Pelodiscus sinensis: one gene and its partner. The protein of the gene in region 1 interacts with the protein of each later gene in a pairwise test. Links are inferred from orthologs where the notes say so. Each region holds a gene or a part of one and is shown on either strand. Other genes may lie near its edges. The genes, in order: CDCA7L and CTNNBL1.

Region 1 (15,310 bases):
TACAACAGGCCAGGATTAGGGTTGAGTGCCGAGGTGGACTGTGCTGCTGCAGATGGTTGGTGCCCCCTCAAGTGCTTATTATGGCATACCTATTGAATCAGGAGCCTATTTCCAGTTCAGCTTGCTACTGACTTTAGTGATTAGGCACGAACTACCCTTTGCACTGCTGGACCTACACAAAGGACACTTAAAGCTGCCGCAAGCCAGAATCCAAGAACGCTCTGGAGCAGGGGAAACTTCAGATCACATAAAGTTAAAGTAACCATCTTTACAGTAAGGGGGAGGATGTATCAGGAGATGATGGAGCTAGAATGCCCAGGGAATCAGCTGATCCTTGGCTTGGCAACCACTCCAGCCAGTGCAACTTGGAGCAGCTTTAGGCTACTATAAATTAGTCACAGAGGTAGCCCCGCCACTGGGGCACCATCTTGCTTCCCTATCTCTCCACCTGTGCCAAGTGTGAGCTGGATGTAGGTTAGGAAGTATGCTAGATCTAGCCTACATCCTAGAGGCCAGTAGTTAAGGGGACCACTCAGCCTTGTTACCTCATATTAACTCATAACTGAAGCCAAGTCCTCAGAGTCAGGGGAGTCAGAGTCATAAATACCAGAAAACTCCCTTAAAAATCAACTTCTGAAAATTCTGCAGAATTTCCCAGTTGGTTTTGGCTTGTTTGGAAAATTGCTAGTTTTAAAATACGATAAATATGCTTTAGTGTATTATAATAGACTTTATAATTATAATACTAAAAGCTGCATTAATGTGTAAGGAATTCAGTATCATAAGCGCCTTATAAATACCATAGCTAGATTTCTTGTTTTTCTTCTGAATACAATTAAAATAAGTTGTGTATGTACACATATAATTAGAAACTATAACAGAAAATATCAAAAGCATAAAAAGAAAAAAAGTGATGTGAGAGGTCAATGAATTAATATAGCAGACACAGTTCCCAGATAAGTGTGACCACCAGTAAATCTTAGTTTTGATGTTTCAGCTATGTCTTATAAAATGATGATTTGCCCTGCACAGCAGAACAGATCTTGGCCTTTTTTTTCACTTACCAAAGGATTTACAGAGCAGGAAAAGAGGATTACAATTCCTCTCAGCAGAAAGTAATCCTTTTAAGTTAGGTATGTCCGCATTCATTGAGGAGTGTGGGAAAGTGCATACTACTTAAAATGCTTGACAGGTCTTGGAGAAATGAGGTGGCAGAAGATGGGAGCAAAAATTCCTAAAGTCATGACTACAATGGCCCCCAAATTAGTATTTGATGGAGGAGGAAGCATTAGAAATGGAGCTCAGGAGTGGGGATTGAGTTTAATATTCATCTGTTTGTGGGACTGAAAGCATTAATGTCCAATATTGTAATCTAAATTTTCATTGTAATTATTCAATTAAAAACTGACAGTAACCATTCCAATTTACAAGCTCATTCTGAAGAGGTAGTTGTCTTATTCTTTAATTATACAGTATATCAATATGGCATTACAGTGATGAGGCTCGTATAAATTGATAGATTTGATATAGTTGATATATCTTCATAGCAGCTAATAATTTCTTCATGTATGCTTGTTTTCTGTTCAGAAAGCGATAGTTCAGAGGTATTGTAGTCCAATTATAGTGTTCGTTCTGAGCTTCAGAACTTATAAGTTTCATTATATAGTTTAAATGTCCAAGGGATAGACCCAGAGCCTATAAAAAATGCTCTCATATGATGAGCAAGGTCAGAGGCTAGTCTGGACTCAATAGCTGTAAAGTAATTCTGGACTAATATATAAAGTTGAGGTTGAAGAGCACCTAGGATTTAGTTATAATATCAGGTTTAAGAGGCTGATGAGAAAAGGCAATCACACAAAGGTGACAGGAACTCAAAAAAGCAGACTTTGAAGTAATATGAAAAGTGGTAAAGAAAATGGCAGGAATTCAGTAATGCATAGGAAATCCACATTGGTAAAGTGAGAGCTATTTGAGAGTATGTCTACACTACAGAGGGTTTTTTTTTTAACCGGCCATTTTTCCAAAAAACCCTCACTTATGTCCACACTGCAATAGCGTTCTTTCAAAAAAAGTCAAAAGAAAAAAGGGTTTTTTCTGACATTAGTAAACCTCTTTCTACAAGGAAGAGCGCCTTCTCTGAAAGAGCTCTTTCAGAAAAAGGCATTTGTGGAAGGAGTTCTTTCGATAGAAGAGGAAAGAGGAAAAAGCAAAGGTGCCCTGGTAGCCACTCCACCCATAGTAATCACAGCTTATATGAGAGATAGCATCCATTCAGTGTGGACATTATCTGTTGAAAAAGCAGATGGTTTTTTTTATGTGCTTTGGCAGTATTGACGCTGTCTTTTGGAAGTTTTTCAGAAGATTTCTTCTGGAAAAGCTTCTTCAGAAAGAAGTCTGCAGTGTAGACATAACTTGAGATACAGTTGGAAAGATTATAATGAAATTAATTCCAGTAAAATAAAGAAAAACTAAAAAAGCAACAGATTCCAGAGTGTGGCTGTAAAGAGCAGTAGAATCGACAAAGGATTTAAAAAAATATTGGGAAGGAGAAAGATTGTGAGAGGTACAAAAGTAGAAAATTCAGGAAAAAAAAAGGAATGAAAGCAAGAAGCAAATAGCATAAAATAGCACAGGATTAGACAGTTCATAATGTATCTGTAACAGCATAAAAGCCACACATTTGTATTGTAATAGAATGCAATTTAATTCAATCTAATTTAACACAGGACATTCTAACACAATAATTTGAAATCTGCTGTTCACAATCCAGGCTAGCTCCTTGACAGCTTTTTAACTGAATGGAGTGCTTTATATGCAGACTGCTGGGGAAAAGCAAGAGGAGAAGAAACCCAGAGTTAGCAACAGGATATATAAAAGGCAGATCTTTCAGGAATGTTGAAGTACAAGACACTTTTATATTTTAAAATGCCCACATTTCCTAACATAATACATAATTCTCACTCTTTGTCTTTGGTTGAATCTTCTTCTCCCCCTCTCTTCAAAGCTCCTTACTTCAGTGCCCTGAATGACAACCACGGGGTTCTCTATAGTGGATGCTGCAGAGCAAACCATTATTTAAATAGCATGCTTTGGCTTAATGGTTCTTTGTTTACTGGTAACCCCTTTCCTCAGACTCAGTTCTAATAAGCAGTCCCCATATGGCTAGTACATAGGCATAGAAATACTCTGCTGCTCAACTGGATAGCCCATGTTAGGAATCAATAAGGCTATATCTACACTACGAGTTTTCACTGCAAAAATATGCTCAGGGACATAAATTTGCATGACTTGTGATCTCATTTGCTTATTTTCTGCCGATCTGGTTTTTTGCTAGGGTTTTTGCGCAAAAACAAACAGTGTGGACATTTCCTTCTTGTGCAAAAACCCCTTTTTCCCCGCAAGATCTTGCGGGAAAAGGGAGGTCTTGCGGGAAAAGAGACGTTTCTTTTTTGCGCAAAAAAACCCTTTTCCCACAAGATCTTGCGGGAAAAGGGGTTTTTGCACAAGAAGGAAACGTCCACACTGTTTGTTTTTACGCAAAAACCCAAGTGAAAAACCAGATCGGCAGAAAATATGCAAATGAGATCGCAACTCATGCAACTGAGTCCCTTATTAGCATATTTTTTGCAGAGAAAACTTGTAGTTTTAGTGTTTGATACAATGAGCAAAATCAAATGGTAAATTACGTGATACCATTTGAAATGTGTTTCATGGTGTGGGGTTTGGTTGTATGGTGGGAGAGGGGCTGAAGCATCCCTCCTCCCCATGCGTATAGGGAACGCATAAAACCATACAGAAAAAGGAGACCAAATCACCAAGCAAGTAAAAGAAGCTGACTGTCGACCCTCATCCAGGACTGCCCTAGCCCCAAGCCTCCCACCCCCAGGTGACCTTTAGGACGGCCCGGGGAGGGGGGGGGGTTGAAGCTCCCTTCCCTCCATTTGTATGGGAACACAGCTAGCTGTTCCCCTTCATCAGGGAGTGAGGGAAAAGTGCAGTTTGCTGCATTTGTCACTCTGCAGGGAGCACAGAGGCAGATGAACCTGGACCTTTCCCAGCCGGGAGACATGCACCTCTCCCCAAACTGTGCTCACTGGAGCTGCAGCGCCCATGGAGATGCGCTTCTCACCTAGCCCCAAGCTGTTGTGGAGTGAGAGGGCTGGGGTAGTCATCTCTACCCCGGGAAGGGTGCTTACAGAACCCCTCATCTCCAGCCCCACCGCAGAACAATGATTTAATTGAAGAAAAACAAAAATTAATTAAGGAATGCCAGGTAAAACTTCTAGTATAATAGATATACACACACACATCTGTTTGCTTAATACACTCATAGATCTCTGAGAGCTCTTTATCTGATTAGCACACAGTGTGAAAGTGAGCAGGGTATACAATGTCTGTCATGTCTGCATATATATAGCCCTTCACACAAATATTTTTAAAATAGTATCTCTCGTTTGTTTTTAAAGGCAGCTAACTGGAGCTTATTGTAGAAAAGCTGTAAGAGACAGTTTTTGATTATTTTAATTTTTTTTCTGCTAATGGGAATTCAGAAAGAAAGATTAAAATAGGAAACCATGAGGAGAAATTATTTTAAAAGCAGATTTAAATTTCTCTTTCTCTTTTTTTTTTTTTTTTGCTTTCCTTCAATCTGACTTAGTTTTTAACACTTGAAACTGTATTTGTTTTTCACTGTGTTTCCCCTGATGGGATGTTGCAACAAAGCTTATGCTTCTATTCAGTTTCACCTTTGATTTCACTAGTATTAGCCCAGTATTCCAGTTAAGATTGCAAACAGCATAGGAATGCTTATAAACACCATTTTTTTTCTTGAATCTTCGTATTAGGATTTATAAAACATATATTTTAATCACATACTTTCATACTTGTAGGTTCAGGGCTTAAACTACCAGCATATCTTTATACAGTACTATACAGTATTTATACAGTATAGGTACATTTATTTTGTTTTTTGTTATGGAAGGCAGGAGAAAGGGAAGGTGTTGATTATAGACTAAAATAAACATGTATTTAATTTCTAAAAAAATCTAGGACCACATCTTGGCTCATAGTATTCCCTTTTGCAGCTTTAAAGGCATACCAAGAGTCTTTCTTGCAAAACTAAAGCCAGCACACTGAATTTGTACTCCCTTACAGGTGTGTGGTAGAATGCTGTGCTGTGGTGAGCCAGCAAATTGGTCCCATAGGACCATTGCTAGAGACAAAAATTAGAACAGCTGAGGCTGGAGAAGAGATCAGGGGACTAGATCTTTAAGACATTTTGTCTTTAAGTCCTACAATTTCTACTGACATAACTACGTGGAGCTTACATTTCTTTACTAGAAAAGATGGGAGGCTACAATGTTACTAAACCTTGTGATTTCATCAGAAGTCTCATAATATTTTGTGTTTTTCTTAAAGCCTCAGCTGCAGCAGTCAAAAATATTGGATTTTATTTAAAAACAAAAAACAAACCTAGCTCTTCTTATTCCAGATAAAAGTTTGAAAAAAAGAAACCTAAAGGCTATAACTAGAAAGTAAAACACTGATCAATTACAAAATGATTTTAATGTCAATCGTGATTTTGGGGACTGATGCATCATGAATTATGAACATTTCAGCCTGAAGACTGGAAGGACGTAAGATCAGCACAGGTAATAAGGGGTTAATAAATAGCTGTGGGACTTGAATACAACCACTTCAGGAACAGAGAGTGAACACCTGCATAAGGAACAGCAGGCTGGAAAGAGGAAATTTATGTCTAAGGAACATGGCACAAACTACCATATCATCTCAGTGCCTGCACAGTTTTTAATGGACTGATCTTTACAACACTCAGGTGAAGTAGGAAAAAGCTGTTGCCTATTATCCCAATTTTACAGAAAGATTAAGACCAGGTCTACACTACAAACTTTTGTGAGGATAGCTATGTTGGTTTGAGGAGTGTTTGACTGATTTGCAGTACACACAGCTATGCCACTACAGGACCCTCATGTAGACAGTTATAAAGTACTATGTTAACTGGCTTTTCTGATATCTCACAATACATATCTTCAGTTTAGTAACTGGGACTAGTATATTGCCTACCATATTATGCAATTGCATGGTTCTGCACTCTACTTTTATGCAATAGAGGCACAAGATAAGTAAACAAGCTGTTATCAGAGATTTATTCAAAACTAAGGGGCTGTGCCCTCTGCTTGTTACACTCATCTACCCCATTCTCTGTCCGCTTTTGCTTCACTGAGAGAGCCTGATGATGTCATTCTGTTGCCCAACAGGAAATACCTTTTTTATGTATCTAGAGAAAAGCAACTTCCAATGTGTCATAGGTCATTACAGCTTCAGCCCAATTTCTTACACCAATGGTGGGCAACCTGTGACCTATCGGGGTTCAATCTGTGACCCGTGAGACATTTTGTTTACCACTGCCCACGTGCAGGGTTGTCAGGTTTTGCTAGTCTCTATGTATTTTTTTTCCTAGTGGTATTACTAAAGTGACGTACCTAAAACAAAGGCATGTAAAATGAGGTGCTTGCTGATAGCACACATTGACCGTGAGAGCCATATTCTCCCTCTGCATAAAGTTCAAGTGCTGGAACAGTTTAATTAGTATACACTGTAAATTGTAGATACACAAGCACAATTAGCAAAATATCGTAGCCCATTCAGATGAAGCAGGGCCACTGATTTGGCTTACTCACTAGCTTAGGTTGCCCATTGGTGTCCTATACCTTCTGTATCTATCGTGATAATCAATGCACTACAAGATACTGAAGTGCCTTCTGAACCATCAAAGATTAAATTATGTTCAATATGGTTCGTGTTAAATGTATTTTTAGTGATCTGGGTGTACATCATGTGGTGCCCATAATGATATGTAGTATCATACTGCATCTGATGAAGTGGGTCTTTGCCCATGAAAGCTTATGCTCCAATAAATCTGTTAGTCTATAAGGTAACACAGCACTACTGTATAGAAACTTTACCTGCATAAACTTGAGTGCTTCATGAAATCAATCACCCTGCAATGCAGTACTGCTCTTGGATTGGTGAGTACTTGTATTTATTTTATAAGTTATTCATTTTACTGTATTTTAATTCTTTGGAAACTGGTATTCCACTGGTAAAGTATAACTCTCAGTTAACCAACATTTTTGATTAACAGGAACCACCCCCCATCCCATTCTCAACACATCAGAAAACAGAGCTTTTATTGTACCAGCAAACTCAGGCACTTTTCCCAGTGTACCTTATTTCACACAGGGCATGGGTGGGGAAAGATGAGGGACTTAAATCAGCTGTATTAGTGCCTTTTTCCTGGTACAAACTGCAGCTACCTTATCTATGCATTGCTATTATAGCTAGGCATAATGCCCCTAGTGTAGACCTGGCCTAACTGAGCCAGGAATGAGCCATAAGTAGCCCATGGGCTGAACATGGTTCACCAGGGTTAGCCCCTGGAGGGCTACCAGATGCTTTATTTGCCCCTGCGTCCGCTGGTATGGCCTCTTTCTGGGACACTTCTCACAGCTCCCATTGGCCGGGAATAGTGCTCTGTGGGCAATGACAGCTGCAAGTGGACGTACCAGCAGATGTGCCGGTAAATACAACATCTAATTGACCTGCAGGAGCAGTGGCCAAAACAGGTGACCTAGGCGGTCACCTAGGGCACCAAGTAAAATGGCCGTTGAGGGCTTTGGAGGCAGGGGTGCCGATCACGTGTTTCGCCTAGGGTGCCAGTTGCTGGCAGCTTGTCTAGGGCCGCTCCTGTCCAGGGGCTAACCCTGGCGATTTGCATTTGGCCTGCAGGCCACTTATTGCCCAGCCCTACCCAAGAACAGCAGTGGCAGAGCTAAGACGGGAGCCTAGTTGTCACATCTAACAGCCTAAGGAGCAGGCCAAGGGAGCAAAGCCCTCTCTCTGCCTCGCAGAAGCCTCCCGCAGTGCAGTAAGCCCAGTCTGCCCCAGCCCAGCACAGGGGGTACGTCTACACTCCAGTGGCATGTTGCAACGCCGTGAAGAGGAGCTGCTCGCCTGGAACGCTGCTTCCTAGGTGGGAGCAGGGAGCCCCCCAGAGGAGATAGTCCCCCTCTCCTGGAGGGGCGGCCGGGTTGATGGGCAAATCCTTCCGTGGCCCTAACTCTGGTGCGCAGGGCGGGAATCGGCCGTAGCGCGCTCAGGGGGCAGCGCGGTGGCCTCAGCCCGCGGCCCTAGGGGCTGGGCCCGAGCCGGCCGGCCAGGACGGGGCTGACGAGCGCGCCTCGCAGCGCGGCTAGCGGGGGCGGGCCCAGCGCAGCCCGCGCCTCGCCCCGGGCGGAGCAGGCGGCGGCTGCAGCTGGGCCCCGCGCCCGCCCTGCCCCCCGCACGTCCGGGGGAAGCCGCGCTCCCTGCGGCCCAGCGTCGGCGGCGCGCTCGGTCCCGGGCTCGGGCGGCGGCAGCACGATGGCAGCGGCGAGCAAGGTGAGGCGGCCCCGGGCGCGCCTAGAGCCCCCCCCCCCCGGCCGCAGCGGGGCGCCAAGCGCAGCCCGCCTGCGCGGAGGCGCATGTGCCCGGGCAGCGGCGGCGGCAGAGCTTTGCAGCGCGCCTCTTGCCCCGCTCAGCCGGAGCCCGCCTGCGTTCCTCTCCGCCACGTGGAGCGTGTCCTCCAAAGGGCGCTCCCTCGGCGCCAGCGCGGGGACAGACCCCGCCGCCGCCGCCTCGGCCCTCTCCTCCTCCCCGAGCGACCCCCCGCGCATTGCAGAGGCGGGAGCCCTGAGCGTGCTGATTAATGGGGCGGGTGATGGGCTGGGGCAGGAGGAGGGGGGTCATGCTGCGTTGGCCTGGACTCCCTGTATTGCTTGCAAGTCCGCCCGGCTCTACAGGTTGGCCTCTTAAAAGGTAGTTGATTCCCCTGCTCCTCAGAAGTTTCCAATAATGAACCGATTGCTTGGTGCTACTGGGGAGGTATTTGCAGTGTGTTTGTGGGGCTGCTTTTCCTCCAACAGCTCTCTTCTCATTTGACGTGCCAGATCTGACTTCCCTCTTTCTGGATTTTCCACTTACTTAATGGGACTTTTACTTCTTACACATCTTAGATTTGGAACAAAACTTGGGGATGTTACTGCGTGTAGTTGGCGGCGGCAGCAGACTCTATAGACTAACTGGCAGCAGTGGCCAAAAAAAAAAAAAAAATGGGGCTGGCAACTACACGCCCCTCTTTCCGTTTTTTCCCCTCCTTCCTCCTGCTTGCATGATAATCAGTGTTAAAATTCAAAACCCAAGATTTGTGAAGCTTTATTTAAGTGGACGCTGCTGTATTTTAAAAATTAAAAGGTTCTTCACTTGTGATGATGTGTTCTTATATTATAAAGCAAAACACTAAACTTTAATTAATGTGTTGTTTGTAAAACACCATTAGGAAAAATAAACTAGTTAGTGTTACTGTTTCTTTGTAATTAAGTTTTTTTCGTTTTCCTGTTATCTTCTGTACATTGGAATACAGAACCGTGTTTTAAAAAGCATATCTTAAGAATTTGTAATTTTTGTAACCAAATCTTAAAATATTTGGTCTACCCTATTGGTGAATTTATTTTCATTGTTTTGTAAAGGGGCTTTTTAAAAAGTCTCTGGATGGCCTGATTCTCATATATTTTCTAGTGATAGTTCTTTTGCTTCTGACCTCTTCTTATTTTTGTTAAAGATGTTGTTTAGTTCCCAGTGCTACAAACATGCATATATGAGTAACATTAAGTCTGTGTGTAAATGTTTGCAGATTGGTGCTTTTGAGGTTTAGTTTTACACTTATGAGTAGTTTTGAACTTCATGTACAATTAGTAGTTAAAGGGACACACACACACACAAACTTACTTTTTGAAAATATTTGCAGGATTAGGTTTAATACATTGGCACCTTCTTGGAAAGTCACCACATGTATCGTAATTTCATTAATGAATCTGTTAAGCTTAAGAAAAGAAGCTTTACATGAGAGGCAGTTGAATACAGACTAAAAACCATACTAAACATTTCAAAAGCAAAAAGATGTTAAATCCGTGTGCACTCTTCCATACAAATATATTAAGAACCTGAGGTCTGTTCCTGGCTCTGCCCTCTCAATTTAACATGATCCTCAACTTCTCTCCATCTGAAAGTGAGACTAACAATATTACTGGAAGTCCTGTGGCACTTTATAGACTAACAGATTTATTGGAGCGTAAGGTTTTGTGGGCAAAGAACCACTTTGCCAAGTCGTGGGTCTTTGCCCACAAAAGCTTATGCTCCAATAAATCTGTTAGTCTGTAAGGTGCCACAGGACTTCTAGTTGTTTTTGCAGATTCAGACTAACATGGCTACCCTTCTGATACTAATATTACTGGAGTGTTGCAAGGCTATTGGTACTTGTAAAGTGATTTCAGATCCTTTGTCTGATTGCCTTTTATTGGAACTGCAAAATATTAATGCCTAATGCTACAGCGTTATTACGACCAGTTACATTTTTATTCAAGGGACAAGAAATTAAATCCTTCCCCCCCCCCCCCGTTATATAAATAGGGCAGTGGAGGGGAAAGAGAACAGCAATCTTTTTAATATTTCTTGTGGCAGTTTGGGGTTGTTTTGGGGTTAAGAGGCACTGCAGTCCTGCACTCCTCCCTGTTATTTCTCTGGAGCTCTAACAGTGGTGGGTTAAATTGTTTCTTGCTGAGTCAGGTGGATTCATCACCTGCAGGAGTGTAGATGTGTTTCAGGCTTCCTTGTCTCTCAGAATCATAATGTAATCTATTGATTATGTTAAGCCCTTAACAACACAGTGAGGTTCAAAGGTTTCAGACACAAACTAGTTTGGCGAGATAGTTGTGTGACCCCATTTTAGCCAGTCACTAGCCAGATATTCTGAGTTGCAAGACCTTTATTCATGTATATTGTTTGGTAACCCAAAGGCCTAATTTTAAACATATCTGTAGAGTGTGCATTTAAACCTAAGTTTTACAGATGGCTTTCAATACTTACAAAGACTTCTTAAAATTGGAGTTTTGTTATAAAAACTGACCCTTGTTTTAGAAATTTATTTTCCTTGGCCAAATGTACATTTCGGGTATCACAGAGGCATTTTAAAAATCATCTTTGACTTATATTAACTGGAATTCTGTCTTTGGATAATGCCATCTATGGCCCCAAGCCTGCAAGTGACTCCGGGAAGTGGGCCTTTGTGACTGTCTGATGCGCCACTGAACTCCATGACTCCAGAGAGCCAAGTAGCAAAATTTGGGCCTATTTTTTTTTCTAGACTGGTAGTTTACTCAGGGTACATCTAGACCAGTGTTTCTTAAACTTTTTAAGACAGAGGAACACCAAATAATAATTTTTTTATGAAGAACACCAAGGATTTTTTGTTGAGCTCTCCCCCCCCCCAAAAAAGGTCGGGGGGGGGGGGCAGTAATTTAAGCAAAAAAAGTTGCCTGCTCCTTTAAGGGTGGCCATTTTGAACTCTGTTCTCCGTAGCATACCTCCGACTGCCTTGCGGCACACTGGTGTTCCCCAGAACACAGTTTAAGAAACACTGGCCTAGACTGCAAGATTCTTTCGAAAGAAGCTTCTTTCAAAAGAGAGTGTCCACACCTCAAAACCAGATCGAAAAAGCGATTTGCTTTTTCAGAAGAGAGAATCCAGATTGCATGGATGCTCTCTCGAAAGAAAGCCCTGATTGCTATTCACAGAATGGCCACTAGGGCACCTATGCTTTTTTTTCGACTGCCTCTTCTTTAGACAAATGTCCCTGTTCTGCGTCCACGCATGCCTTTTTTCAAAAGGGCTCTTTCGAAAAAGGCATTTTTCCTTGTAATTTGAGGCTTACCAATATCGGAAAAAAAAACCCCTGCATTCTTTCGATTTAATTTAGAAAGAATGCAATTGCATTGTGGACGCAGGTGAAGTTTTTTCTAAAAAAGGGCAGTTTTTTTGAAAAAACAATGTAGTCTAGATATACCTCAGTGGTGCAGTGATACTGTGCAAATCTGCTTTCTGGGAAACTGGGAGCCAGAAGTAGATTAGAGGCCTTGAATGAGAAGATGCTTCTCTTGTTTCGGGCAATATTAAATCAGAAATATCAGCTTCTGTGTGTGTATCAGTAGTAGGTATTGTGGGGAAGAGCGGATAGGAGAAACGGGAGTGAAGTTGAAGCATGGTTATACTATCTATGGTTCTCATATACATAATGTTAATCTTTTATGAAAGTACCTTTTATGGATTGCAGGCTCACACTCCCTATAAAAAGCAATTGTTCAGTCTTATTCCTGCGATTTATATTGTGTGGATAGACTGCTGAGCCCCATTGGCTTTTGGAGGGCTCCATGTAGGTGTAGCAGTCTGCCCACATTCTAAATTGCAGGATTAGGGTTTTAGTTCCTGGTAATAGAGGCTGGTTGGTTGCAATGATAAACAATGGGGAAAGTTATGGCTTCGTGATGGTGGAAAATGCTTACTGCAGGTCTGGGGTTAAAGCAATAATTCTCAAACTTTTTGACTTGTGGTGCACCCCGCTCAACACAGATCTTTCTGAGGACCACAAGCCAACCACCCATGGTGACAAAATGGGTGTGCGAGGGCGTGGAGGTGCAGGCTTTGGCCAGGAAGTAGGGAACAGGAGTGGGCTGAGGGTGGGAGGTAAGGATGCAATAATATAGTTGATTAATCAATTAACTGATAAGCAAAAGCTTATAGGTTAATGCTACAGACTACACGCATTTCTGCCTCCCTCCCCCAGTAATTCTTTTAACAGGCAGGCCAGCAGTCCAGCTTAGTCCCAGCTTGCACCGGGTCTGAGACCTACCCCTATTCCGGCTCTGCATTTAAATTGTATTAGTAGCCAAGCAGTCTGGCTCAGCTCCAACTCGTGATGGGTCTGGGAGCTCAGATCTCTCCCTGCCACCTTATGCTGCTGTCTCTGTATCAGGCATCCATTCCATGAGAGGAGCCACTTTTAAAACTAGCTTGTGTTTAAACTGGCTTCCCTTGCAGACCAGCTCCTGCCTGGCATCCTGCTCTGCTGCCTCTGATACAAAGACAGCAGCAACGTGGGGTTGCAGGGTGCTCCTTGGGAGTGGGGCTGGAGCGCACTGGCTGCCAGCCCTGCCCCCAGGGACTATAGAATTGTCGAGTAACCGATAAGAATTCATTAGGTTAATCGACTATTCAATTAACCGATATTTAACATCCCTAGTGGGAGGGTGATGCGTTGAGGGGGATAGAGGGGTGGTATTAGGGCATGAGGGAGGTGGGTGGCGCTTACCTGGCTCTGTGTCTCCCGCTGTTCCCAGGCACCACCCTCCGCTGCTGCAATTGGGCGTGATTCCAGAGCCTGCGGCCCACTTGCAAGACTATCCTGGACCACTAGTGGTCCAGGAACCACGATTTGAAAACCACTGGGTTAAGGGAAGTGTCATAGCACTTAACATTGTAAATAAGTTTCTTGTCCTAAGACTTCATGAGAAGTCAAATATTTATAATAGTAACTTCATTTAGTTACTAATTTAAAAACATTTAGAAACCCAGAATCCATTATTTGGGGCATTCAGAAAGCTAAAATTAATGGAAGAGTCCTATTCAATAATAGTTTGGCTAATGTAATAAAGATCATAGCTTTTCATGAATAACTAAAATGTTCACAATATACAGCTATGGTGATAAAGTACTTTCATCTTGGATGGTAATCCATAACTCTTAATCTTGTGTGATCTTTCAGGTGTACATGCTTTTTCCCCATCACATTTTTCCTCTACTTCTCCCAAAGCAGTTTTATGTATTCCTCTATGGCACTGCATGTGCATGGAATATTCCATCCTCAAACTATTTCATAAAGTCCCTTTAACTATAGCCATCTTGTTCCAAGCATTTGATGAGAAACTGTGAACAGGTAAGAGGTTGGTAGATGATCAGGTATCTCAGTTTGAGTCAATTAAAAAAATCTTCTTGTTCACATAGCTAATATGAACATGTGTAATCGTGTGATTCCTATCATTGTCATTCTTCTTCTTCCCTTTTCCACCTTCATTTCTTTTATGACCACTTGCTATAACTGTATGTCTTTAAATTAGATCTTGATTCTACACTCTTATTCAGGAGCAAGACTTGGAATGTAAATAGTTCATGGCAGGGAATGTTTCTTGCTATATTTTTGTTCAGTACGTGGCCTAATAGAGCTGTGATCCTGATTTAGGGATGTTAAATATCAGTTAATTGAACAGTCGATTAACCTCACGAATTTTTATCGGTTAGTTGACTATTCTATAGTCCCCGGGGGGTGTGGCTGGCTACCAGTGTGCTCCGGCCCCACTCCTGGAGAGCCCCTGCTACCCTGTGCTCTCTATCAGAAGCAGTTGCACAGGGTGCCAGGCGGGAGCTGGTCCGCATTGGGAGCTAGTTTAAAAATTAGCTCCCCATGTGAACTGGCTCCACAAAGCTGCCTCTGATAGAGACGTAGCAGCATGAGGTGGCAGGGAGCTCCCTGGGAGCGGGGGTAGGTCATGGACCCGGCGCAAGTCAGAACTGATCCGGGCTGCTGGCCAGCTAGCTAAAAAAATTACTGGCCTGGGGAATTGGGGGAGGAGAAATGCATGTAGTCTATAGCATTAACCTATAAACTTTTGTTTATCTGTTAATTGGTTAATCGACTATACTGTTGCATCCCTATCCTGATTAGGGCCTCTGTGTGCTACTGTGACACAAATAACTATTGTAAGCCTTGAAGTAAATTTATGCTCAGAAGTTAGTCTGTGAAAATCAATCTTTGATGCAGTTTCTGCTCTGAATGGATAAAATTGTGCTGGCTTTGCTCTTGCCATTAGATCTGTTGATGTCATTAGGGTTGTTGCAAATAAAGACTTCTTTACATGCAGATTTTCACCAATTTAGATTTTTTTAAAACCTGATTTATTTAAATTGTCTCAAAAGGTTGTGCAGACATGTATATTTTGGTCTAAAGTCTAAACCACATTGATATCTTTTTTGGTGTGTTTTGTCAAATCTACAGCTCAAGTGTTCTTAATATGAACATGTGCTGGGCCATCACCCAAGAGTACTATCATGAAATATATAGTAGAATACAGGTAAAACAGATTAGGAAGCATATAGTTTTGCCCCAAGGAGTTCAATCTCAAATGTAATTAACACTCTTTTTTTTAAACAAATGTCATCAGCATTGAAGTAGGTCCTCTGGAATGGTGGTCGAAGCATGAAGTAGCATACAAATGTTTAGTATATTTGGCGCATAAATACTTTACAGTGCCAGCTATAAAAGTGTCATGCAAATTTTCTCGCTTCCAGGTGACATTATAAATAA
Region 2 (15,110 bases), on another chromosome or scaffold:
CTCCTGAGAAGCAGGCCCAGGTGGTGCGCGAGGCCCTCCCTGCGCCCAGCCTCCATCCAAACATTTCTCCCTGGCTGCAGATTTACTGCTTTGCAAATGCTAATTTTACATTCCAATTATAACTTGTTCCCTTTTCCTCGTTTTAATAAAAACGAAAGCATCCGGAAACATTGCGGCACCCGGGAAAGAGCAAGATCTGACATAATTAAAAAGTGGCTTCAATCAGGCTGTTTTCCTAATGGTTTGTCATATCAACCCACAGCTCCCCGCAATCCCCCTTTACTCCCAACCCCCTGAGGCATCATTTACATTTCTTAATAACCCCTCATTAATATTCATGAGGTGGGGAGGGTAATAACGGCTGAGTGCACACCACTAATTCAATTTCAGTGAGCCTCAGTGTGTTTAGTTAATCACCGGGGGACCTGGGTGACTCAGTACAATTATTTATTCGGAATTAGATCTCGAGGCATCTGGATTGAAAAGTGAACCAGGAATAAAATTAAAAAGGGATTCTCCTCCTCCGTGCTCTCCCCCTTCTGTCGCCCCCGCCCCAGGCACCCCCGCAGCGCCACGCACCTTCCTGCAAGGCAGCCGGGCGGCAGAGCCCCGGGCTGGCCTGCTGCTCTTGCGCGCGGGGAAATCATCCGGCGAGCGGCCCGTTTGCTTTTTCCTTTTACGAAACTGATCCAAGGCCAGGGCCCTTTGAACTGGTGGGACAGCCCCCGGCGGGTCCACCTGACCAGACTCTGGCCTCAGGGTGGCCCCAGGGAAGGCGGGGGAGGGGGTATCTGACCCTCATGTCTCTGCACCAGCCAGGCCTGGCCCTGCAGCGGGCGTGGCTGCCCAGGTCCCGGGAGCTCAGGGATCCAGGTAGTCGCTTGGGCCTGTCCGATCCTGCCCCCAATCAGTGGGGCTGGCCATGAGCCTTCACTCCCCTGTCCCCTCTGCTCCCCACGCCAGCCTGGCTCTCTGCACACTCCCTCCCCCTCCCCCTCTCCAGCTCATGCTCATTAATAATGGATCCAGCTGCCTCCTCCTGTAATCTGCGCAATCTGGCTCCGACATGGCTGGATCCCCTTCCCCGGGCACATCCCTCCCAGGGCAAGGGGATGGCTTGGAGAGCTCCCCATTGACAGCTGCTGGGGGGGGGGGTTCCTGTGCCCTGCTCCCTCGCTGGGCTCTGCTGTCCCTTGATGCTAATTTCCCCTCTGTCTGCAGAGAAGCAGGCGCTGAGCCTTGCAGGCGTCAGGGGTGGGAATATCAGGTCAGTAGGGACTCACAGAGGGGCTGGGGCAGAACCCAAGCCCAATCCTCGACCCCCTCCGCCCATGTCTAACCCCTAGGCGGCATTTCCTGCCACTGCTGTATCTGCTACCCACACGCGCGGCCGAGAGGTGCTGTGTGCAGCCGCAGCGGAGGCGAGACCTCAGCGCGGGGAAAGGAAATGCTAAATAATTTAAACAGAAAATGGAATCGCGAACCTCTGTCGAGCCTCCTCGCTGCGAATGACTCTGTCTCTGTCCTGGTGGAGCAATTTACATGGAAAACCTCCGACTGGCGGCTTAATAGCCACCCGCTCGCTCCTGGGGTGTTGTGATGCCTTCCTCTGGGTTCTCAGGCCTGGATTTGTTCATGCTGCGGCTGAGACGCGGGGAGCGCACTGTGCCAGGCTCTGCAGGACCATGTAGCGACCCCCAGGCCTTGGCCTCAGGAGCAGACAGTAAGCGGACCAGAGGTTGGAGGGGAGACAGGCCCTGTGAGGGGAAGTGACTTTCCCAAGGTCACACAGCAAGTCGGTGGCAGAGCTGGGAGCAGCCATCCGGTCCCCTGACCAGTGTTCTCTGGAAGCTGAGCACAGCAGCCGCCAACCCAGGAGAAACTCAAACGCCGCCCAGCTGATTAGCAGAGCGCCCAGGGCTGGCAGCGGGTGTCTCTATTTGTGGTGCACTTCCACACATGCCTTGGTGCACATAACAACATTTATTCTGCACAGGGATGGGAAATATCAGAGGGAACCTTGCTCCTGCCTCCCCTCCCAGGGCCTTACGCAGAGACACTGCTGCTGTCCTCAAGTGCCAGCCCTAGGAGGTCTCAACGGCCAAGGTAGCACTTCCAGGAACAACTGTCCCTAGAACGGGGCAGTGCAATGAGGCACCCCGGCTCTCGGCCCCTGCCGGGTCTCATTCTGCCCTCGGACGGTCTGGTGCGGGAGTCAGGCAGGGGAGCCTGGAGCCAGCTGTGCAAGGGCCGTGAGCAGCAGAAGCCAAGCCCAGCGGGTACCACGGTGAAGCCCTGCTCCTTCACTTCTGCCTCCCAGAGCTGCAGCTCTGACACCCCTGATGTGTAGCCAGGGCCCTGCTCAGCTGATTGCTGTAATGTCTGAGATGATGGAAACGTGGAGGCGCCGGCTGAGAGCCTGGGCTGGAGACGCTTGTCATAACTTTATCTGCGGGGAGCCAGCTCCTGTCGCCGGGTGATGGACGACCCGGCGCGGGGCTCGGTGCACGGCACAGCGTGGCTTCCTGCGCCCGCTAACGACGCGGCAGGTGAAAAATGAGTTCCTGGGACGAGCCGGGGGCCGGGGGCGGGAGATTCTGGGGCACGTCGCCACCTGCACCTTCCACTGGGAGTCCTGGGGAGCTGTAAGGTGCCCTGGCGCTGTGGTCACCGACCGTGGCTGCGCACGGGGGCTGCCGTGTCCTGAGCCGGCGCTCACGAGGCTCCCGTCACTCTGACTGCGGCCGCGCACACGCATAGTGCACTGCGAAGGAGAAGGAACAAGGCCAGGGAGAGGCTGGCGGTGGGTGCCAGGGAGGCGCGCCCTGCTCTCCCGGTTCAATTCTTCCCGGCTTGCTCCTGTGCGGTGCTTCGTTTAGGGCCCCCCTACAGAAGGCAAGAGGCAGAGTCTCCTCTCCCTTGGCCCCCTCTGAGCCAGTGGCCCTGCACAAGGAGCAGGTGCGGGGGCTGCCGGGGAGAGGCCTCCCCAAGGGCTGGCTCCGAGGGGAGCGGGCTTGGGGGTCAGTGACATCGAAACAGGTCGGGCCAGTCCCAGCAAGACTCCCCGGACTCCGCGTTACCCCGTGAGGCGCCGTCTGGGCCGGGCTGCCTGTAAACGTGCCGGGGCGGAAGCGAGGACCCCAGCCAACCCGCCGCAGGGTGGGTCTGCTTGGCCGCGTCCGGCACCGCTCGCCGGTGCTGATCTCTGAGCGCGCCACGTGCCTGGTTCTCGCAGGGGACGGAACGGTTAACCGGGGGATGTGAACTGAGGCTGGAGCAGCCCTCCCCCCATCGCTGGCAGGGCCTGCCGTGGGCATGGGTCGCTCCTGCCTGCCAGAGCAGCCCCTGTCCGCGGGGGCCAGGCCAGCTGCGCTGCAGGCAGGGGTGCGGGGGCTGCTCCAGCTCAGCTGCGGTGGGGGGCGGGCGGTTAAACACAATGTTTAACTGGTTACAGATTGGGGCGCGGGGGGGGGGGGTGTCTGCTCTGTGACCCGGGGCCCCTGCGCTGGGATGGGAGATTCTCACTGACTCTCCCAAATGTGGATTCACTCAGGCTCAGCCTCCCAGGGAGAGACAAAGGGGGGAGGGCGGAGACCAGCACCTGGCTGGGGGCAGGGCTGGAAGAGAGTGGGGAATTTCTGTCTGGGATCATGGAGGAAGCAGCCTAAGCAAGGGGCTGGGGTTTAGGGGCCCAGTCTCCCCATCTCAAGGGCTGAGGCATCCTAGGCCGGCCCTGGAACCAGATTCCATCTGTGCTGGGCTGTATCCTGGAGAAGCAATAAACCCCCTCTGTTCTACTGGCTGGGGAGTCTGTCCCTGCCACTTCGGGGGTGCAGGAGGCAGGGACCCCGACGCGCCGTCACAGAGATTAACCAGGATTTTACCTCCCTAGTTGCTGCTGCTGTTCTAGCCCCTCTGCCAGCGCACTAAGCCGGCCCCTCTCACGCCTGCCCCAGGGCCGACCGGGGGTCTGAATGGCAGGAGCTGCTTTGCGTCTGACTGTGCTTCCTGTCCGCCTGGCTCAGCGGCTGACAGACCAAGGCTGCCCCCCCGCCCCTCCCCCGGTCACAAAGCTGTGGGGAGCCGCTGGCAGGAGCAGGCCCAAGTGCCGGGGTCCGGTGCCGGGCGGGAGGAGTATGGCCGACACGTCCCGGGAGCCAGTTTCAAAGCCAGCTTTTGCTTGTCCCTTCTACTTCAGAGGCAGCTGCAGGCCCTACCCTGGGCATCCCTGCTGCATTTCCGGGGGGACAGAGGCCTGGGTTGAATGGCACTTGGCTTTCCACGCGCTGCCCTAGCGCAGGTACGTAGCACAGCCTCCATTACAGGCACAGCCCTCAGAGGCTCCGAGGGGTTAGGTCACAGGCCCAAGGCCACACAGAGCACCAGTGAGAGGAAAGACCGGAACCCCGGTTTCCTGGCACCAGCCCTGGAGTCTAACAGCAGACACGCTGCCTCTCCTCCGGCAGCTGAGCCCCGTTACAGGCGCGGGGCCAATGTATCGGGTGTCTCCCCGCTGCCTTCAGGGGATCGGTACCCGGCATGGACGGGGTCATGGCTGCACCCCCTTGGAATTGCTCAGTCATGAGCCTATGAAGCCACACTCCTTCCCTGAAGCCCACTGTCTCGTGCCAGCTACCGGGCTCCAGGTCGGGACCCAGACGTGTTGCTCTCCTCCAGCCCTGCTCAGGTTTGTTTCTAACGTAATTTTGTCCCCTGCCCCGGCTCCCTTTATTGGATACACCAGCCCTGCAGCACCTGGAGCGACCCAGCTCTGCAGGCAGCAGTGAGCCTGGCCGGGAAGCCTTAGGAGACAGGCAGAGAGTGAGCTAGGAGCACGTCCAGGAAGTGGCTGACGACAGCTGCCTCGCTGCCCCTTGCATTGTCCTGGGCTTCCTGGTTTCACCCTTGGCCTTTCCCTGCCTCCCAGCGCACTGCAGAGCCCTGAGTAGCAGGGCACCGTGGGCAAGACACTAACAGCCAAGGGAGGCACCCTGGTTAGTTTGAGAAGCTGACGGGAGACAAGCCGCATCTCAGAGACAAAGGGTCCTAATCCCGCCTCTGAGACTGAGGCCTGCGGTGGCCACCCTTTTCTCCCTCCGTTTCCCCATCTGTACAGTCAGAAGATTCTGCTGACCCGCCTGTCGCTCCGGGTTCTGCATGGAGGAAATAGTGTCTGTAAAGGACCTGGCAGCTGACAAGCGCTATCTACAGGTACACCTCGAGCAAGGATGCCATTGGCCACTGTGAATGAGTAACAACCTCTCTGGGCCTCTCTTTTCCCACCTGCAGGATGGGTGTAGTACAGCTCTGAGTCTGCCAGGATTTACCCATGTGCTGGACTTCCCTACTTCCCAGTGACTTCCGCGTGTGTGAGCTGTTGCAGGATATGGGCCAATACGTCCCCGGTTCAGTCTGACAGCCCCTCTCTCAGGCGACCCCTGCGTGTGACCCTCCACGAGGTCGCAGGGGGAAGGATGTGCCCAGAGCGGTGTGACAGACAGCGAAAGGGAAAACGGTATTTTAGGCAGATCGTCTCATTCATCAGAAACAAACGCGGAGATGGGGGAGGTTAGAGCAACAAAACATCATGTCATCATGAAATGGAATGTTGTCTGAGGTTCCCACGTACGCCAGGTTTATGAGGCTTCTGTCTGTCTGCGGAGGGTCGGCACTCCCCTCTTCATGTGTTTTATTTATTTTACAACTCCTTATGTCTTATTTATTAGCATCACTTGTCAAGCTTTCCAATAACTATATCATGCTCCCAAGTATATGTCAATACTCATAGAATGACTGTGTTTTGCCTTCGCAGCTGGAGAATTATCTGAATGCTCCATAAAAGAAAGGCAGAGGATCCAATAATGATCTTCTACTTGTCTCTTCTTCCGAGTGCAGATTTGTTGAGTTAATTTTCTCATGACTGCTCTCTCTAGACCGCACTGAAACAACAGGGGATGCTAGGGGGCCTCTTTCTTGGAAAATGTTAGATACATTTTTAATTTCATGACTGTCCTTAAAGTAGACGCCTGCTGAGATAACGGTAATAGTTGCTATAGTTATGTTACAAAAGAGTTTTACCTCCAAGTTGATTTTTAAAGAACAGCTACAGTCTCTATTTGATAAGATTTGGGACAATCTGGCTCTCTGGCTTCGTTGTTCCTTTTAAAGAACGTCAGCGAATGCTTCATAGTCACCTGAAAAGCAAAACCATTTGTCCTGGCCTCAGGAATCTGGGTAATTTGCTGTTGATCTGCTTTCCCCACTAGAATGGGAGCTGTGCTGGGGGCTTGCTGGGTACCCCAGGCAAGTCTGCGAGGTCAGATGGTCGTGGGCACAACACCCCTGAATCCAGCTGATGGGGGGACATGCAGCACTTCTGTGAAATCCGCATGGGAACCCACCCGATTAGGTGTCTAAATCCAACACTCGACACCCCCACGTGGCTGCCACCTCCCTCCCCTGCGGTGCATCTGCAAAGTCACCCAAGTCCTGAGCTCACCCCCAAGCTGCTGGGCCCCCTAGCTTAGGCTCAACCCAGCTGGCTGGATTCTCACCGCAGGCCTTCCTCTGCCCACCTTGCCTGATCTCATAGGTTGGGCTCAGAGTCCACTAACCCTGTGAAAAAACCAGCTGGGGGGCAAGCCAGTCGGGGCACTCTCTTGGGGGGAGAATCCAATTCTTCCTGTGACTGAGTCGGGGACGGGGGGGCCCAAACCTACCGGCCTATTGGCCAGAATGGGGCAGGGCTCACTAGATTGTCCCTGTAAACATTCATTGGAGCAGGGACTTGAGCCAGAGTCTCCGCTGTGAATGCCCCATTGCTGGGCGGAGCAGCACCCATCCCTCACTCATCTCCTCCCCCCACGGTTTTAATTCGTTGCCCCAAACGGACTAGCTTCCACAGGCAATCCTGAGACAGCCACATGGGCTGGTGCTTAGGGCACACCCCCGGCCGGCAAGGCTACGTCTGCATGGCAGCGCTATTTCCGGATGCCGGCGGTAACCTGAAATAGCCGTTCCGTGTCTTTTGAGCGCACCAGCTATTTGGAAATATCACGGGCTCACTAGCCCGACGTCCCTGCAACCCTCATTCCACGGGGAGGAAGGGACGTTTCCGAATAGCGGGTTGTTTCGAAATACCTGCTGTGTAGACAGCGCCACATTTCAAAACAAGCAATTTCGAAAGAGCATCGAAATAAGAGCCACAGTGTGCGTAGCGCCGATTGGGTCTCTTATTTCCACCTACGGTGCAGTGGAGATGCACCCTAACGCCATTTTAAATAAGGCAATGAAAATCCTGTGCCCGCTGACTAAGGCTGTTTAATTGCAGTGCACAGGTGCGAGCTCGTGTTGAGGCTGGGTCTCTAGCCAGGATCCTGTGAGGTGGGAGGTCCCAGAGTTCAGGCTGGAGTCCAGGCCTGGAGGTCTACATACAAATCAGCTGGCTGGCCAGGGCTGCCCCCTAACTGCAGTGAAAACGTAAGTCCCTGTGCCGAATTGGACAAGAGCTTGCAGCTTCCTTGGAGAGTCCCTGTTTGCCTGCTCCCTGCACAGGGCCGGGCTGGCGGCAGGAGGGTTTGCAGCTGAGAAGCCCGAGAGGCGCCTCCCTCCAGCCTGTCAGTCCGGTGCCCAGTGCCCGGAGCCATGGCAGACAGGTGCTAAGGGCCTCTGTGAACACAGCCCTCGCCCTGGCACCTTGGCCCTGCATTGCGCCCTGGCCGGCTTTGGCAGCTCTTGGCTCCCTTGGCTGGCTGCCACGTGCCTGGCCGGGGAGCTGGGCACCGGGCGGTGAGTGCCACGGGGCTGCAGCACCGCAGTCCCCACGCGGACCCAGCCCAGCGCCCACTGGCCCCTAGGATGGGCACAGGCCAGGGGGTCAGCCTCAGCCAGCGCCCAGGGCCAGCCCCATCCACTGGGGGCAGGGCCTGCCCATCAGCCCACAGGCCAGGCTGCAGCAGGAGGCTGGGAACACGCGCCTGCCCCGCCAGGCCCCGCCCCCAGGCCACGCCCCTGCGAGCCTCGGGCCGCGTGCGCCTGTGCGGCCACGTGACTGGCGTTCCAGCAGGCTTCGCGGCAGTGTGGCGCGCCCCCTGTCGCGCTTTACGGCAGCGCGGCGCCGGCTCGCTTTACGGCGGCGTGGGGTCGCTCTCGCTCGGGCTTGGCGGCTGCTGAGGCGCGGGGGCCATGGACGTGGGCGAGCTGCTCAGCTACCAGGTGAGGGGGAGGGGCTGCGCCTGCCGTGGGGGGAGGGGGGCTGCGGCCTCCTCACTCCCGGGCTTCCCTCGTCGCCTGGGAAACCAGAGCGGCCTGGGCCCCGCGGGGGGGGACTTGGGGGGAGGGGTGCACGGGGGGGGGGGCTCGGGGCGCCCCACGTGACCCCCTGTAATTAAAGATTCATCTTCACTTCCTCAGCAGCCGCCGGCCGGTGCCTTTAGCCCCCCCCCCCTCGGGGCGCCAGGCCCAGGCGGGGGCAGCCTAGCCATGGGGGGGGGGAGGTAGCCCCGCCCCTTCGGCCCAGGCCACGCCCCCATCGCGGGGAGCGGGGGGGAGCAGCAAGGCCCCGCCCCCGGTACCCCTACAGCAGGCAGGGTGTGGGCGGGGCCAGGCTGGCGGTTTGGGGGGGGCAGTGTCCTACCCACCGCCCATGGGCCCAGCTGAGCTTGGCCCCCCCCCGAGCACGCGCCCTGCCCTGCGAGAGCTGCGCCGTGCGCCCCGCGGGGCGGAAGGGCCCCTCTGGCAGGGAACGTTCATTTGCTTTCTGCCCTCTTGTCCTCCGCTCGCTCGCGCTGCAGAAGTGGCTTTTGCCCGTGGAAGCCCGTGGTCCTGTGTGCGGTTATTAGTGCTGCACGACTACTCCTGGGTTTTGAAGTTACAGACTAAGGCGGCTTCCCCTGAGACTTCATCTTCAACAGAAAGCAACGTACAAACCTTTGCCATCAATCGGTCTTCAATGGCGACTTATTTGGGCATGTCAAATGTTTACTGGTGTGCTTACTGGTTAACCATGAGGCTTACCAGCTAAGTGAGCTCCGGCAGCCAGCCATGCGGGGCCTGAGGAGCGCTTAGTCATGGAGGGGGGAGACAGTGAGATCTCACAGCTGTGGTGGACCAAGTGGCAGGTCTTAAGTTAAAAGTTAACTAGTTAAGACTTATCCGGTTAAATGATAACAATTTTAACATCCCCTTGGCCATCCAGGAAAGGCAAGTACATCAGAACGGCCAGACTGGGTCAGACCAAAGGTCCATCCAGCCCAGTGTCCTGTCTTCCAACAGTGCCCAAAATCAGGTGCCCCAGAGGGAGGGAACACAACAGGGAATCCTCAGGTGATCCCTCTCCTGTTACCCATTTCCAGACAGACAGAGGCTAGGGACACCATTCCCACCATAGTCATTGATGGACCTGACCCCCATGAATGGATCTAGCTCTTTTTTTTAAACCCATTAAAGTCCTAGCTTTCACCACATCCTCTGGCAAGGAGTTCCACAGGTTGACTGTGCACTGAGTAAAGAAAAACTTCTTTTTGTTTGTTTTCAACTTGCTGCATGTTAATTTCATTGGGTGGCCCTTAGTTCTTATATTATGGGAACAAGTCAATAACTTTTCCTTATTCGCTTTTTCCACACCAGTCATGATTTTATAGACCTCTGTCATATCCTCTCTTAGTTTCCTCTTTTCTAAGCTGAAAAGTTCAAGTTTTTTTAATCTCTCTTCATGTGGGACCTGTTCCAAACTCCTAATAATTTTTGTTGCCTTTTTCTGAACTTTTTCCAATGCCCGTATATCTTCTTTGAGATGGGGTGACCACATCTGTACACAGTATTCAAGATGTGGACGTACCATGGTTTTATATAAAGGCAATAAGATATTCTCTCTTATTCTCTGTCCCCTTTTTAATGATTCCTAACGTTCTGTTTGTTTGTTTTTTACCGCTGCTGCAGATTGTGTGGATGTTTTCAGAGAACTGTCCACAATGACTCCAAGATCCCTCCTGAGTAGTTGTAGCTAAATTAGTCCACATCTTACTGCAAGGGTGGCCAACCTAAACCTGAGAAGGAGCTAGAATTTACCAATGCACATTGCTAAAGAGCAACATTTATAGGTCACCAGCCCTGATCATCTTCCCACCACCACTCTCAGCACATCCCGCCCACTGGCAGCCCCACCGAACTGTCCCTCCTTTTCCTCAGTGGGAGACACTGGAGGGGGGAAGCAAGGGTGTGACAGGCTTAGTGGAGACGATAGGAAGTGGCAGGATCCTAGGGGGAAAAAGTGGAGGGGGACAGCGCCTAGGGCAGAGCTGGGGATAGAACAGTGAACACCTTCCGGCCCAGTGGCAAGTTGGCACCTGTAGCTCCAGCCCTGGATTTGGTACCTATGTAAAGAGCTGCATATTAACCTCTGAAGAACTGCATATGGCTCTGAAGCCACAAGTTGGCCACCTCTGTTTTACTGAATGTATTGTGGGATTATTTGTCCAATGTGCATTACTTTACATTCATCAACATTCAGTTTCATTTGCCATTTTGTTGCCCAATCACTTAGTTTGGTGAGATCTTTTTGAAGTTCTTCACAGTCTGCTTTGGTCTTAACTGTCTTGAGCAGTTTGGTATCTGCAAATTTTGCCTGCTCACTGTTTACCCCTTGCTCTAGATCATTTATAAATAAGTTGAATAGGATTGGTTCCAGGACAGACCAATCCAAGTAGTCAGTCCTTATGAGCAGGGCTCGACAAATAATGCAATCTACTCGCCCGTGGCGAGTAGATTACAATTACAACCCGGAAGAGCTGGTGAAGAGCAATCTGTGCATGCACAGAGTGCAGAACTGTGTGAAACCGCGCGGCTGGCGAGCCCTGCTTATGAGACATTCCCAATGTAATGTCAAACTAGTGAAGTTCTTAGATCCATAAATTGATTTCCCCTCTCGCCTCCCCTGTATAGAGTTTGTAATGTCTTGGGAAGAAAAAAGACCCTAGGTTATATGTAGATCTTTCCACGTGCATGTCATTGGCATGCTTTATGCGTGCCTTTCTTTTAATTGTCTAAATGTTTTATTTGTATGTCCCCATAGGGCAGTATCTGTGCTTTTGGTGTACTCCACACACTAATGGGATGCTATTTGGTCACTTTAGGCACAAAACTTACAAGATCAATGGACATTTCTTCATTCTTTTTTGAAATTGCTATTAAAACTGTTTTTTCTGCAGTGTTTGCCCCTCAACTGTAGCAGAAAAGTGAAACTGACAAGTTTGTTTTTGTTTTTTTAGCTGAATGAAATGCAAAAAATAGTGTCAACATTAATGGTGAAAAGAACATTAGAGTTCTAAAATCCTCATTTCTAATATGCCAGGGTGCAGCTTGTAACACAGGAGACACTTGTTTTTAAAAGACTTTATCTGATAATCCTACTGGCTATTCTTAATAATGTTTCCTTCATTGCCCTTGGCATCAGGTCTTTTTGTGTCCTTTGGTTCCTCATCTATTGTATGAGCCTCTTGAATATAATTCATCTACCTTCTCGTAGCCCTCACCTTGAGAAGTGGGTGTGTTGGAGGTGTCTAATCTCTCTTCCAACAAATATGAATAAAAATGGCCTAACGTTGTGTCTTTGGCCCCTAGCATCCCAGGCTGCTTTCTTGTGTGTCTCTTCTAATGCTGGAAATATGGCGCCTCAAGCTTTCCCAGCGAGCTGGATGACTACTGCAACACCCTGCTGATTTGTACTCTGCTGATAGCTCCAAGTGTTCTTGCTTTCTTAACTGTAGTTTAAAGGTGCTGTCCACAGCTACCTTAAATCTTTGTCCGGAATAGAGCCTGTGCTGATTTCACATCTGTTTTCAGTACTGTCAGCCATTATATTGCACAGATCCCTTGGGCTGTATTTTATTCAGATCCTTTTCAATCCAGTTTCCTTCCTTCTCAGTCATGTGTATTTCATGTATAACATGTCTTACAATCATGTTAGCCTTATCAGAGACTGCTACATCTGACCCCAGGCCTCCAGAGTCCTCTGGCCTGCTGGCATGTTACTTGTCCCCTTCAGAATCCCCACCGACCTCCTCGTTCTCCTCTTATTAAACCTGCCTTTCCTCAAGCACCAGCAGTCAAGGTGAAATCAACTTTTTACTATTTTTCATTGCATATACAGTATTTCAGCTACATTATGAGTTAAATAGGCTTTTGTGGCTTAGCCTGGGAATCTAACAACCGCTCCAGGTGGGTCCTGGTTTTTTTCAGCTCAAGTTCAACACATCCTTCCGGTCCTTTCCAAATCTCTTCGTGGCTTTGCTCCTGTGTTTCTGATCTTGCCAGTTTCCCATTCTCTTCCTCTTCATCCAACCATTTGTGCTGTCAGTACTAATCTTGCTGCTGCTGATGTGAGATCTTTCCCTCTGCTGTGCTTATATCTCTCCACTTTACCAACTTTCCAATTTCCAATCCCAAGTGAAAATATTCATCACTCGCCGGGTTCTACTTTCTCCATTTTCTCAGCCTCGGTTATTTATTTCTAAGTATTTTGTGGTGCAATTTGTACCTATGTAAGATGTTATGAAAGACAGCGTTGCACTGTATTTCATTCAGTTCACTTGTTTCAATATCCCTTCTGGAAAGGACGTTTCATTTTCACACAAGAAAAAATTGAGGAATAAAAGATCAGTCCCTGTTTTGATTCTGTTCTACTCCGGAGGGGAGGGCTTGCTCACATTTACTTAGAAATATATGGTATAATTTCGGATTCCTGTGAATCTTTTGGACTCCTTGTCACTGGGGCCCCCCATGCTTTATGAAAATAGGGTTATAAATAAGCCAAACTGGAAGGCGCTTTAGGTAAGTGCATCACGTGACATATTTTTAAAGTTAGTCTATGAATGCATGTGTTCTTTTCCTGTGCATGTATCATTCTTGTATGTGAAGTTAGAAAAATTGAAGTGAAAGTCTTAAAAAAATAAGTGGACCTGTAGCACCTTAGAGACTAACAAATATATATAGTATCATGAGCTTTCGTGGGCAAACCCCACTTCTTCAGGTGAAGGGAGTTAAGGGCTCCTGGGGACAAATAAATAGCAGAAAAAGAGAGGGGATGGGGAGGAAAAGAGAAGGAAAAAATATATTGTCAATTAGTGTCCATGGTAAATGAGGCTGATAGAGTACCTTTTTATGTCACTAGGGTGTTGAATGTAGCAGGCCATCCAGTTAAGGTAGTTGTTTAAAACGCTATTGCAGGTGTCAAACTTGTAAATGAAACCAAGTCCTGCAGCTTCTCTCTCCAGCTGGGTTTTGAAATTGCCTTGCAATAATATTGTCACCTTTAGCTCCATTAGTGGGGGCCCTGGCAAGTTAAACAGTTTCCCAACAGGGTTCTGTGTGTTACCATTTCGAATATCTGATTTGTGTCCATTAATCCTCTCTCGTAGAGACTGTCTGTTTTAGCCAATATCCATGGCAGGGGGGTGTTGCTGGCACTTGCTGGCACAGATCACATTGGTGGATGTGCAGTTATATGAGCCTCTGATGTGATGGCTGATGTAGCTAGGTCCTGTCATGGTGTTGCTTGAATAGATGTGTGGACAGAGTTGATTGCAGAGATGGGATCCTGGTAGGGATGTGAAGGACTAGTTGAGTATCTGATAAGCAAATGCTTATTGGATAGTCGACACACCAGTCGACTAGACGCTCCCCCCCCCCCCCCACCTTACTGCATCTATCAGAAAGAGGCAGCAAAGGGGGGGGGGGGAGGAGAATGGCAGCTCTGTGTAGAGCCCGGGGCCAAACCCTGGGCTCCACATGGTACTGCCGCTTTGAAATGCCATGGTCTGCACGCAGCATTTCAAAGTGGCAGTGTTGTGTGGAGCCCAGGGTCTGCTGCTTTGAAATGCTGGTGCAGCCTGGGGCCAGCTGGGGAGTCCCCAGCTGGCCCCAGGCTGCATGTGGTGTTTCAAAGTGGCAGCGCCACCTCCTCCTCTCTCCTCCCTCTTTTCCCCCACCATGCTTCCTGCAGTGTTTCAAAGTGGCAGTGCCGCATGGAGCCCTGGGTCAGCGGGAGAATCGGCTTGAGTCCCCTGCTGGCCCCATGCTCCCCGCAGCGCTTTCACCTTTGAAGTGTAGCACCAACCCTGAGGCTGTTGCTACACCTCAAAGGCGAAGGTGCCCTTATCGACTAATTCAATTGTCAATGCATATTGCATCGACTATTCGATTAGCCGATTAATCTAAATTTAACATCCCCAGTTCCTGGGTGGGTTTGATGGGGGTGTGCTGCGTGCTTGCTGGAAAGAATTTGTTTGAGATTAGGGAGTTGTGTGTCTGCAGGCGAGGACTGGCCTGTCACCCAAGGCCTGTGAGAGTGAGGGGTCATTTTCCAGGTTAGATGTAGGGTGTTGATAATGCGCTGGAGGGGTTTCAGTTGGGGGCTGTAGGTATCCTGCTGATACCAGTGGTATCCTGTTGTTTTCTTCGTTGGGCTTCTCTTGAAGAAGCTGTTATCTGGGTACTCGTCTGGCTCTGTCAATCTGTTTTATCGCTTCTTCGGGTGGGTATTTTAGTTTTAAGAACGCTTGATATAGATCCTTAAGTGTTTGTCTTTGTCTGTGGGATTGGAGCAAATCCAGTTGTATCTTAGGGCCTGGCTGTAAAGAATTGGTTGGGAAATGTTTCTTGGCTGGAAGCTAGAGGCATGTAAGGAAGCATAACGGTGGGTAGGGTTCTGGTATAAAGTGGTAGAAACGTGGCTGTCATGTAATTGTATTGTAATGTCAAGGAAACCTTGTTCAAGGTCAGCCATAAAGATGTTGGAATATTGTGGGGCCATGCGGGCACCCATACCTGTGCTGCTGACTTGAATATAGAAATTGTCTCCAAATTGGAAATAGTTGTGGGTGAGGAGCAAGAGGCAGAGAAGTGAGAGTCTGTTTATAAATCTAGATGTGCTAATGAGACCATTAGTGATACTCGAACATAGTGGCTCAGTAAGTAAACCAACAACTTGTCAATAGTCTAGTTTTTCCTGTAAGCCTGGATCCAGATTGGTTCTGCCAGGGCATGTGGCCAGGCCACCTGATGCTGGACCATTTTTGGTCTTGTGCTTTTTCACACAAGAAGAGAGGAATTTG

The links.
Region 2: the proteins of CDCA7L (region 1) and CTNNBL1 interact in binary tests that used the Homo sapiens proteins (3 or more experiments, as listed by UniProt). The link is inferred for Pelodiscus sinensis from reciprocal best matches to the Homo sapiens genes CDCA7L and CTNNBL1.

What each region holds. Positions count from the first base shown.
Region 1 is NC_134712.1:200,002,755-200,018,064, forward strand, and holds the start of CDCA7L (cell division cycle-associated 7-like protein), read left to right. Parts: upstream 1-8,296; 5' UTR 8,297-8,442; coding exon 8,443-8,460; intron 8,461-8,738; exon of another isoform or gene 8,739-8,877; intron 8,878-15,310. UniProt on the Homo sapiens protein: Plays a role in transcriptional regulation as a repressor that inhibits monoamine oxidase A (MAOA) activity and gene expression by binding to the promoter.
Region 2 is NC_134728.1:432,430-447,539, forward strand, and holds the start of CTNNBL1 (beta-catenin-like protein 1), read left to right. Parts: upstream 1-8,058; 5' UTR 8,059-8,184; coding exon 8,185-8,214; intron 8,215-15,110. UniProt on the Homo sapiens protein: Component of the PRP19-CDC5L complex that forms an integral part of the spliceosome and is required for activating pre-mRNA splicing.